2 linked regions of the Drosophila melanogaster genome follow. The protein of the gene in region 1 interacts with the protein of each later gene in a pairwise test. Each region holds a gene or a part of one and is shown on either strand. Other genes may lie near its edges. The genes, in order: CG13384 and Pde9.

The links.
Region 2: the proteins of CG13384 (region 1) and Pde9 interact in a two-hybrid assay, tested with the Drosophila melanogaster proteins (one large-scale study listed by BioGRID).

What each region holds. Positions count from the first base shown.
Region 1 is NT_033779.5:8,382,699-8,389,510, forward strand, and holds CG13384 (uncharacterized protein), read left to right. Parts: upstream 1-1,756; 5' UTR 1,757-1,842; exon of another isoform or gene 1,843-2,001; 5' UTR 2,002-2,161; coding exon 2,162-2,197; exon of another isoform or gene 2,198-2,399; intron 2,400-3,440; exon of another isoform or gene 3,441-3,518; coding exon 3,519-3,687; intron 3,688-3,776; coding exon of another isoform or gene 3,777-3,788; coding exon 3,789-4,680; intron 4,681-4,960; coding exon 4,961-5,133; intron 5,134-5,192; coding exon 5,193-5,437; 3' UTR 5,438-6,106; downstream 6,107-6,812. Other genes in the region: CG13392 (uncharacterized protein), read right to left, coding at 1-9; Rcd4 (reduction in Cnn dots 4), read left to right, coding at 258-572, 637-921; Dad1 (defender against apoptotic cell death 1), read right to left, coding at 976-1,314; CG42819 (uncharacterized protein), read right to left, coding at 6,131-6,571.
Region 2 is NC_004354.4:12,894,247-12,899,225, forward strand, and holds the start of Pde9 (phosphodiesterase 9), read right to left. Parts: upstream 3,082-4,979; 5' UTR 2,472-3,081; intron 1-2,471. Other genes in the region: CG32650 (uncharacterized protein), read right to left, coding at 3,301-4,341; Coq8 (coenzyme Q8), read right to left, coding at 4,657-4,979. UniProt on the Drosophila melanogaster protein: Specifically hydrolyzes the second messenger cGMP, which is a key regulator of many important physiological processes.

The sequences.
Region 1 (6,812 bases):
TAATGCCATTTTTCATTAATTTATCAAAATATTTGGTTCTCAGAAAACAGCTGCTTATGGGTCAGTGTTGTATAAGTCCCGAACCGGTGTGAGAATGTTGAATACAGTGGGTATCGGAAAAAGGTCTCGGAAAGTAACGCGAAATTTACAGATGATGACATATCAGTGCTGTTAAATGGTCAAATCAGTGTTGCGTGCTGTTTTATATCAGAGGCGAATTGAAGTGTACTACCATAATTCTTGCGAGTCTGCTTAAAATGCCTCACAAACGTAGGAACCGAGTACATGCGAACCAAAGGAATTTCACAGCGCGACGCGTTTCTGTGGCCAAACTGTCGTCTGCACCGCCGAATGTGCTCGTCGAATCCTGCAACGGTTCTCATGCGGATAACAGTTCGCCGGACAGTCCGAAAGCCAAAGAAGGTGCAATGACCAACGGGAAAAACCCGGAGATCAAGTTAGCCGTGCCCAAATGCAACACCACCGTGCGCAAGCAGAACGAGGCCCATATCATATCCAACATTAAGCTGGATATGAACCTTAATAAGGATTCTAACTTTATCGCCCCACAGGTTAATTAAGGTTTTCAATTATGTATACTGTTTTATAATAACATATTCTGTAACTACCCCAAAGATCACCAAAAAGATGAACTTCGCTCCGAATCGTGTTGTATTCGGGGTCCTGGTGCCTCTCAATGTCAACGATTCTGTGCTGGTGCCGCACAATAGAAAACCGGATGCCTTAAAGCACACATCGAAAGAATCGGAATCATGCAAGGCCATAAGCGAGCCCCAGCTAGCCGACTATGCGGAGAAAGTAGATCCCATGATCATGGCTGTTAAGGAACCAGTACTCCACTTGGATTGGGAACCAGGACCCTTCGATTTTTTCGGCGCATATAGGAGAACATACAATTAGAGTTACATTTTATTTATAAATATATCCGAGAATATCAGAATGTTTGTAGCTTTGTTAACCGATGAAGTTCATGACCACCAGATGAAGGATCACATGAGCGAAGATGAAGTCGGCGAAACCGCGTTCCGGCGAAATGCCGGCAAACACGCTCTTGTTCTGGGGATTGGCCTGCAGGCGTAGGCACACTGCCAGGACGAAACAGCTGACGGTGCTGATGAAACCAGATAGGAAGGAGTTGAACGGGAAGGTTCCAACCAGGCAGCAGTAAACAAACTGGATGATGCCGGTGAGCAGAATGTAGCCGAGGTAGATGTCCACCAGCTTCAGTTTCTTGGGCGTATTCTGCACGTAGTCGTTGTAGAACTTGGAAATGACGCTCGACAGCTCCACCATTTTGCTATTTTATGTGATATTTGTCCGGATATTTAAGGATAAAGGCGCTTTTTAACAAATTAATCGCAGACACGTCACAAATTGGGAGAGAACTCAAAAGTAGGACCGTTCGTCTAGTTTGAAAATAATACTGATAGCTTTATCGATGAAGGCGCAAGTACAGTGGGCACTCAATACCTTGAAGTTTAATAAAGAATAGGTTTATATATTAAAAAATTTTTGTGTTTTAGTTAAAACTAAAACATAACAAATCTTATAGATTAATGACCGCTATCGATTCTTTTTTAATGTTGCATATGTTTGAGAGGTAATGTTATAATTTAATTTATATAAAAAGAAACACAAATTCTTTTTCTAACCCGTTAATAAAGTTTTCTATCCGATTTTCACTGTACCGCCAAATCAGCGAATTAATCGATAGATACGGAAAGTCATCCTCGATTGTTGTGTCTTGCTTTGCTTCTTCAGTGCTTGTTTTGGGGTGAGAGGCAATTGTTATTGCGAGTTGAGTTCGAAGAAATTAGTAACGTATGTATTTAAAACACCACAAAAGGGTATGATGTGCGTTGCAACGTTACAATAAACATTTGCTATCCAATGTGCAACAGTGATGCAGCGTGTTATCAAACTTCTTTTATATGAACACAACATGATTCATTGCTGATGTTTTCTCTGTTCGATTCGCAGACTGGGAGAAGATAATTGCCATAGCCTCCTCCCACCACGCACCCCAAACTCAGCAATAAATGAACTTTATAATTTGATTGGCTCTTCGCATTGATAAACCAGCGTTGTGACCTTCGCAGGAGCACCCATTTCATTGTCAGTGTCAAGCGGGAAAAAATCAATGGAGGACCTGACACCTTTGACCAACCTTCAACAGGTAGAGCAGAGCCAGACACATCTGGTCATCAAATTGCGCATGCTGAATGGGTTTATTTTGATTTCGTATCCGTACATCTGTTAATTATGTTTTTGTTTCAGTTTTAGTTTCAACATTATCATTTTTCCAACTGCCCAAAAGACGCGTTCCTACAACTCAACCATCTCCAGTTGAGATACATCTAATTTCCGATACAGTCAGTGTAAGTGAAAAAGATATAGTTATGTATCTTTGTAATGTCGCACCTTGTTGTGCAAGTCTGTGATGCAAGATAAAACGAAAATAAGTTCGTAATGCTTTGTTTGATTTCTTTATGGCTCTCAAATAAAGATTTCTTGACATAAGTCGGCTGCTTGTCTGGATTTAGGTAGACTTTACGATTTAAGCACTATTAATTCCTCGCTAAATAAATAGCACACATTCTATGACCATGTAGCACTTATATGTAGGTCTTCTAAAAGCAAGCACACTGGAATTATTAAATCTATTTTTTAAAGCTAGTGTTAAAGTAAGAAAAGCATGATTACTTGTCAAAATGGCAATATAACCAGAATACTGCATGCATGATACATAAATATGCAAATGATATCAACGCTAGAATGATTCGAACCTATGTATCATTTATGTATTATGTATATCTCTCATTATAATTTGTATTTGTTAAGTTAACACTTTGATTTCACGTTTATTTGCGAAAACTTTCTTCTCGCCTTATATGTTCATTCAAGAAATTTATCAGTAGTATTAAATATCACAATAATGCAACTTGAGTAATTCCGTTTGCTGACTCAAGTCAATAATCTGAATATAATGGGTGGATATTTGATTCACCGTCTGGATACACATTATATAATTGTGATTTATGGTATGCTCGCTGGCTTCGCAGGAGATATGCGGGTCTTATCTCTACGTATGGATTGTTTTTCGCGACTTGTTGGTGTTTTCGACTTTAAAGCTATACTCTAGTGGGAGACGAACTCGTCAATATGATATCGACTTCCGAAGCACGCGTAATCAGACCCATATGCAAAGTAATGAAATGATCACATTAATCGTACTTTGAGTCAAGTCCAAGGCTAACTTGGACTATCAGCATGGTCGAAATTTTCCACTCTACTCCGCCCGGCACGCGATCACTGTCCACTATGCAACGCACTATCTGCACCTCCTATTGTTATAAGCGTGGAAAACTGAGTCAGCGGAAAATTTCCGAGGCGAAAAGCGGGCGTCTCAAGTTGCACTCTTAGTTTGTTTCGTGCAGCCGGAGAGGGCGCATCATAAAATCCAACGCTCTTAGTTACTTACCTACCCCTGTTTCCAGATTCCCGAGGGAGCGCCGCGCAAGAAAAAGATGACGGAACGACAGCCGTTGCTCCTCCAGAGCGATGCCTCTGACTACGAGGGCAGTCGAGGATCGGCAGCACGACCCGTGCGCAGCTCTCCGCCGGACAACACTCTCGTCAACGTGCACAGCGAGGACAGCTTAGCAGGTGAGTTTGTGACCAGGTCAAAATATGTTATTACAAAGTAAATTGAGGTATGACGAGAAACTTATAATTTTTTCGCTTTTTTCTGTGAGTGCACGCAGCAGCCTCTGGATCGGGAGATGATGAAATTGGATCGACGGATAAGTCCTATAACCCCACCCATCATCGCGACCTGGAGCATCCGACGTCCAACTTCGATACCCTGGTTCATCTGCTGAAGGGCAACATTGGTACGGGCATTCTGGCAATGCCGGATGCCTTTAAGAACGCCGGACTTTATGTGGGACTCTTTGGCACAATGATCATGGGAGCCATCTGCACTCACTGCATGCACATGCTGGTCAACTGCTCCCACGAGCTGTGCCGGAGATTCCAGCAGCCATCGTTAGATTTCTCGGAGGTGGCATACTGCAGTTTTGAGTCGGGACCTTTGGGACTAAGACGATACTCCATGTTGGCTCGACGAATTGTTACCACGTTCTTGTTTATCACGCAAATCGGTTTCTGCTGCGTCTACTTCCTCTTTGTGGCGTTGAATATCAAGGACGTTATGGATCACTACTACAAGATGCCTGTGCAGATTTACCTGCTTATAATGCTTGGACCCATGATCCTGTTGAATCTGGTGCGGAATCTGAAGTATTTGACACCCGTTTCGCTGGTTGCCGCCCTGCTCACAGTTGCCGGACTGGCCATTACATTCTCGTACATGCTGGTGGATCTGCCGGATGTGCACACGGTCAAGCCGGTGGCCACTTGGGCGACGTTGCCTCTATATTTTGGAACCGCCATCTACGCGTTCGAGGGAATTGGTGTTGTCCTGCCCTTGGAGAACAATATGCGCACACCCGAGGACTTTGGCGGCACCACAGGTGTCCTCAACACGGGCATGGTGATCGTGGCCTGCTTGTACACAGCTGTCGGGTTCTTCGGCTACCTGAAGTACGGCGAACACGTGGAGGGCAGCATTACCCTAAATCTGCCGCAGGGCGACACGTAAGTCCTTAAACTTTCCATTGCTAATCGGTTTTAGTTGTAAGACAGAGGGATTTAATATTTCTCATGCTGATATACATAATCTACATGCTCTTGCTATTTGAAAAGCGCTATTCGAAATATTGATAGTTCAGATAGTTAAGATCGTTATTAACTTTACTGTCTAAATAATTTTAAATTACATGATAATAAAGCTAGCAAAAGGTGTTATAACAATTTTTAATGATATTCCCAGACTGCAATACTAATATTTTAATTGTCTTCCTCTTTACATATTTAGACTTTCCCAGTTGGTGCGGATTTCAATGGCGGTGGCCATCTTCCTCTCGTATACGCTTCAGTTTTATGTGCCTGTGAACATCGTGGAGCCCTTTGTGCGAAGTCATTTCGATACAACGAGGGCCAAGGATTTGTCAGCAACTGTGCTGCGAGTTGTTCTGGTCACTTTTACCTGTACGCATAGATAGTCAATATTTAAAATGTTCCAATTATCATCGTATTTTATTTCACAGTCCTGCTGGCCACCTGCATTCCCAATCTAGGCTCCATTATCTCGCTGGTAGGAGCCGTCAGCAGCTCAGCTTTGGCCCTAATTGCACCACCCATAATTGAAGTTATTACATTTTACAACGTTGGCTATGGACGCTTCAATTGGATGCTATGGAAGGACGTTTTAATCCTGATCTTTGGACTCTGTGGCTTTGTGTTTGGCACCTGGGCCAGCTTAGCTCAAATCCTGAACGACAGAACCCACTGAGTTTAATCGAAATAAGCGAATCGAAAACAGAACCTGGCTAGTTCTGCCTACAAATGTGTGCGAATTTATGACGAAGGCTTTATGTAGTTACACTCAGACTACGAATATGTTTACCATTAGTTGTTTACCATTTCCCAACTGGTATCGGTCCAGTCCAGTGGCGGTGCTTTAGTGTGATTAATTTATATTTATGGCAAATTAGTTGCATTTTTTTTTGTTGTTATCAGCCAGCTGCAATCGTACCAGACAATAACTAGCATTTTAAGTAGAAAGTTTTTCAACATTTGTTCAGTTTGTCAGTTGGAGATTATTTCTGTGTTAACTCGATGACCGCACAATGCCAAACGTGATTTTACGTAGTATTCTTAACTAAATTATTATTTAGCTTTTACTATGTAGTCTAGGTCGGGGCAGATCATTCCAAAGCAACTGCTAAGAATTTCCCAAAAACCGAAATTAGCTAATGTTATCTGCATACTTTTATCGTTCGATTATTTGTAATTATACAACTATAAATACATATATATGTATACCCCTAGCCGTACTGGTCCCGAAATGGGACCTTCGATAAAGTTTTGTAAATACATCAATTCGGTGTATCAACAAATGTTCTTTAATAGTTCAATCGGTAACAAAGACAATAATTAATATAATGTTTATAAAAATCAGTACAATTGATGTTATTTAGTATTCCTACCACAGGGCTTGAATGGTCACTGGGAATGGGATTCCATTGGAATTAGCCACTCTCAATGGACTCGATGAGAGCAGAATCAGTCCTTGAGCTCGTGGACCGTTCCTAATCTGCTTGGTCAGGCGAGCGGGTGCCTGCTGGACAGGCTGAACTTCCTCTGCATCCGGATCGGGTGTAAAGTCTTGCGGCTCCTCATCGCTGGGTAGCTGCTCAACTGCATCGGTAGGCGGTGGGCCGTAGGTCAGATCCGGTGGTCCATATGTCTGATCCGGAACTCCTTCCTCGAATGGCACCTCCGGCTTCAGTTCGTCGGCGGATGGATAGGGTGCTGCCTGCTGTTTCTGAAGTTGCTTTGCCAGCCGTGCTGGCTGAGCTGAAACCGCTCCAAGTGCCAGGACCAGAACCAGCAAGGAACAGGATGACTTCACGTAGCTGCGCATATTGGCTTTGACGCAAGAGATACACGAACTTATGAGGGAACCGTTGTTGATTGATTGATAACTTTGCTGTTCATTACCTGTCTTTTTATATGTTTTTCGGGTACTACGTGGATGGATTAATCAATTTTTGGTGGTAAAACGTGGTCGTTTGGTTAATGACTGGGTCATCCAGTGGCCCTTGTGGTCATTTGGAGTTGTCGTCAATGTCACGTTGCAGGTGCCCAAAACGGGAAATCAATCA
Region 2 (4,979 bases), on another chromosome or scaffold:
ACGAAGGCCATATATATGCGTTCGTAAAAGTATCTGAAACTGAATCTGAATTTCAATCTCAATCTGAATCTCAATCTCGATCTGAATGTGGATCAGTCAGTATCTGTATCTGTAGCGGTGCGCATCTGCAGTGCCTCATAATCATTCAAGTGGGTGTCTTCAACATGAATGAAATGGAATTGGAATTGGAATTGGAAGAGCAGCACAGTGGGGCCACAAAAAAATCTCGTTTAGTCACTTTGCGAAAAGCACAAAACAGAACCGCACAGAACAGCACCGACACAAATGCAGATACAAATGTGGATGTATCTTCGCAACAGCATCAGTATCTGAATCTGTATCTGTATCTGTAACTGTGTGCCTGCAGAGCAATCGAATCAAGAGACAAACTGGGTAATTGGTTCATTATGTAGTAGAAGCCAACGACATCCGCTCGTTAATGTAAATTACACAATAGTTTCGAATCATTCCTGTTTTTTTTTTTCGTCTGCACTTAATTTTTCATTCCACTTTTCTTCAGCCACTTGTTGGCGAGAAAAACCTATGAAAAGGTGTGTATTTTTTAAAATCGATAAATATTTGCAATATCGAAATTATCGAAGATTATCATTTCTCTTTCTATTGTGAATAAACACTATAAATATAATATGAAATTGTGGAAAGCTTAAGAGACTAGAGCGATAAGCGGTAGACATAAACAATTAGATCAATAGGATGTCATATTACCCAAAAATATTTCAAATTCGGTAGACATAAGCAATAACGATAACATCAAATTTCCTCAGAAACCGAAACCTCGCGGATTTTGCTTACTAAGAAGATACATATTCTACATATGTATGAAAACCAACAAGTGAGCGAAATGCGAAGGGGTTCCAAATTTATTTGTCTAGTGATCAAAAATTTTCCCGGAGGTCTAAACCCATAATTTCCCCTCCATAATCCCGCCCGATGTAAACACAGTCTGGAAACTTTCCATTAGTCCGGGGGATCGGAGATAACAGCGAAATAATGCGCAGAGATCGCAGAAAATTGGAAATATAATAGGGATTTCGATTTTGATTTATTCATATATCTTTGTTATTTTTTTTTTTTTATTGTTTGCTTGGAAACAATGGAAACTTTGGATGAGGTTCTACTGTAGTCTAAATTTATTAAACAATTATTGGACATTTTTGTGCTGTCTGTTCTGTATTTTATTTATTATTGTGCCCCCCTAAAGAAAAGAGAGTCCAGTGATCGCGAAAGAGAGGCGACGAAAGAGACGCTGATGAAGAGAGGGAGGGAGAGCGGGCTGATAAAGCAACAGGAGCAACAACAACAGCAAACAAATACAATGCGAATTATCAGTGGACTGCGTGATATGATTATCAAAAGGTTCCCCATTGCTGTTGTTGCTGCAGCGGCTGCTGGCAACGGCATTTCTCAGCATATATATATATATGTATATGTACCAAGAAATATATATATTTATATAGGTATGTACATACACATATAGCCAACACACGCACATTCCAATACATGCGAACTTGGAACACTTTATTCATCCAATCCATATATAACTAAGACGTTTCCAACGTGCTTTGATAGCGCCAAAAAAAAAAAAAAAACAGACAACAAACAACACATTTTTCAAGAAATATGTAAACACCTGGTGATGAAAGAATGCTAACTGAAATTTATGCTAAATAAATGTCAATGGGAAAAAGTAGAAGTAACTAAAACTAGCTAATTAATGATTATTCCAAGCAAATACCACGATCAACTATCTATTGTTTAGTTTGGTTGAAAGTAGTTTAGTAGATTTTGAAAACTGTCACATTAAATCAACAGAGCTGGGAAAGTTCTTATCAAATTTTTGCTTCCTAGGATGAGAGTTGGATGTAATACCATCTATATAGTGTCTTGTTTAATTAGTAAGCACTATCAGCTCCTAAGAAATTCGTTATCTTAACATTTTTTCCATATTTTCCAGTATTTGTTCGTTTTTCCACGATAAATCTGCTGCATTTAGAACTGAGGCACAAACTTAAAAGCTAACCATAAAACAAATCACATTTAAAATAATGCCTGCTTTCAATATTCCACATTCTTAGTGCATATATAAATCCTTCATGTTCTTATCTGAGAGTAATGTTACGCTAGAAATGATCTTGAAGTTAGATTTTCCTAATTCTCACACCGATTAAAGATTACCAAAGCAAACTTTAATACCCGATAATTTGATATGTAAACTTTCGATAAATCACATTTAGCGAGTGATATTTTCGATAGATGTATGCTCGGTTCGATAACAGTGCCCGGTATGCTGGGGGTTATTAACCCCAGAAATCCCCGTTTGGCTGCGCCACTGTGCACACACACACACACACCCACTGAAAGCGAGCAACTCCCACAGTTCACTTTCATTGATAAACTCGGCTCTTCGCTCTTCTTCTTCCCCCATGCAAATCCAATTGTCTGCTACTTACTTTATTTATTTTTTATTTTTTTTTCCTTCGTGGTGTGTGTGACATCAATCAGCATCACATCGTTGTTGTTGCTGCTGCTGTTTTATTTATTTATTTCTTTTTTTCTCTGTTGCTCGACAATTGAAGCTAACCAACATTAAACTATAACTTCCTCACAAGCACACTGAACGCACACACACGCACAAGCTGCACGATCTTGCACTCTCAACAAAAACCAAAAAAATAAAAAAAATAACGAATTTCATACACTTTTTATCACGCCGATTGTAGTAAAATATTAATTAAAAAACAGGTGGCGCGCACAAGTACATTTGAGATAAACGCGGGCTTACAGATATTCAAATAAATGCAATTTATAGAACGATTTCTTAGTTTATAAAACAAAAATAAAGAGAAAAACAACCGTTTTTTTTGTAACCGTTGCAGTTCGATCACTTGCACTTTTTCACTCAATTAAGCTAGCATTTGAGCACCGGCAGCACATTTCCTGTGTCATTCCCGTTATTTTGGCAACTAATTCGGTTTGTTGATTAAAAGCGATCGCGATAAGCGTACGCCGTTTGTAAAGTTTGTAAACCAACTGAAAATTAACCGTAATCCGCGCGCGCAGCCTTCGCGAAATGAAACGCGACGGTTTGCAGTGTGACCGGCTAGCCGATCGGCGGGAAATGCGCTTTCGCTATCAGTGTGACCGTGCAGCTCGCTGCTAACTGCCTGTTAAGCAGCAATGTTAGCTAACAGTGCGCTTGAATAAAAAAAAAACTGTTGCTTATTTTGAATTTTTTGTTTATTATTACTTTAAATGAGCTAAACAATTGGCAAACAAACACTAATAGATTTTGGGCGGATTGTGCAGCATGCGCAACATTTTGCCGTACCAGGTCTTCGCCTCGGGCGGCACAACCACCGGCAGCTCGAGCAATTCGCCGCGGGAGAACTTGACGGTCCGATAGGAACGACGCTGCCAGGCCTTGGCCTTCACCCAGACGGGCCTGCCGGGATGCTCCTCGGCGCGATTGCTATCGGCATGCCCGGCGCCAGACGTGCCGAGGCTACCGATTTTGCGGGACATAACCGATGGCCTTGAGAAGCCCAGCGGTGCCAGGCCGAGCTCCAGATCCCGGACGCGGGCCAACAGACTTCGCGTTGAGCCCAGGCACATCTCGTGGGCCACCGTCATCTCGTCGAGTGCCTGCCGCTTGATCTCTGCATACTCCAAGCGAGACTGCGTGCGCTCGAGTATCTTCTTGTAGGCCTCCTTCAGGTGGCGACCCATCTTGAAGAGCTCACGCCAGCTGGCGTACAAGTCACGCGCGTAGCGATAGCGCTGCAGGCACTTGCCCGCCTCCAGTTGCTTGGTCAGGTGGAAGGAGAGGACGCGCTCGTGGTCCTGCCGACACCCGACCAGCTCCTTCGTCTGCCGTTGGAACAGACGATCCAGTGCCGAGATGCGTGCTCTGCCCAGTTCCGAGCAGCGAACGAGATCCGCCAGTTGCCTGCGAATGCGCAGGTTATTCCATTGCAGTTCTCGCAAGGCCGCCTCCCTGCTACCGTGCATGATCATCCAGCGCGAGTCCTCCGGTTCCAGGCCCTTGGCCAACGCCTCCTGTTCCTCCTCCCAACACGATCTGCCGCCGTCGCGCTCGTGAAAATCGATGGCCAACTGGGCCTGTATTTCGTCCAGCGTTCGATTCATGGCGCCAATCTCACGCTTCATTTGCGGCCAGGCTATCTCCTCGATTTGCTCCGGCGACTGCTCCTCCAACTCCTCGCTCCCATCGGATACGGATCCGTCGATGTCCGAGACGCAATCATGGTGAAACAACTCGTTCTTCCTCTTCATGCTTTGGGTCTTCACAAATGTCTTCATGTTTTTTGCATTAGATACAATGTATATATATTTTTTTTGTGTAGTGTTTTATTGTTGGGGTTTTTAACTAAAATGTGTGTGTGTGTGTGTTAGCTGTTGGGGATTGCTCAAAACCTACTTGTTTCCAATTCAATTGACAACTAACCCTGACCCAGTCAGTTAAGGATAAACACGTTAGTTGGGAAATTAACATATGTAATCTTGCAGCGAATCGCATTTACAAATTAAGCGCACTTATGGTTTACAACTGGGATTGGATTGGACAAAAAAAAAAAAAAAGAAAATGGTCAAGGGAAGAGGGGTGAGCTGTGCTCACTAGTCCTTGAACTTCCCCAGAACGATGTCCTTGTAGAAGGGCACGCAATTCATGCGCACATTCAGACGCGCGCACAGCAGGAAAATGCCCGATAGCTTGCGATGAATGGAGTATATCTCCTCGGGCGGCGGGCACAATCGATGCGCCACCATTGTGGGCACCAGGGCGGCCAATCTTTCGGTGGTATTCTGTCGACCGAAATCGAAATCACCGTCGTAGCGAAAGATCTCGCCCAATATCATCACCGCATCCACGTGCGCCTGCTCCATTTGCTTCGTCTCGTAGCCGGTTAGGAAGCCCATTTCGCGCGACATCTCCAAAA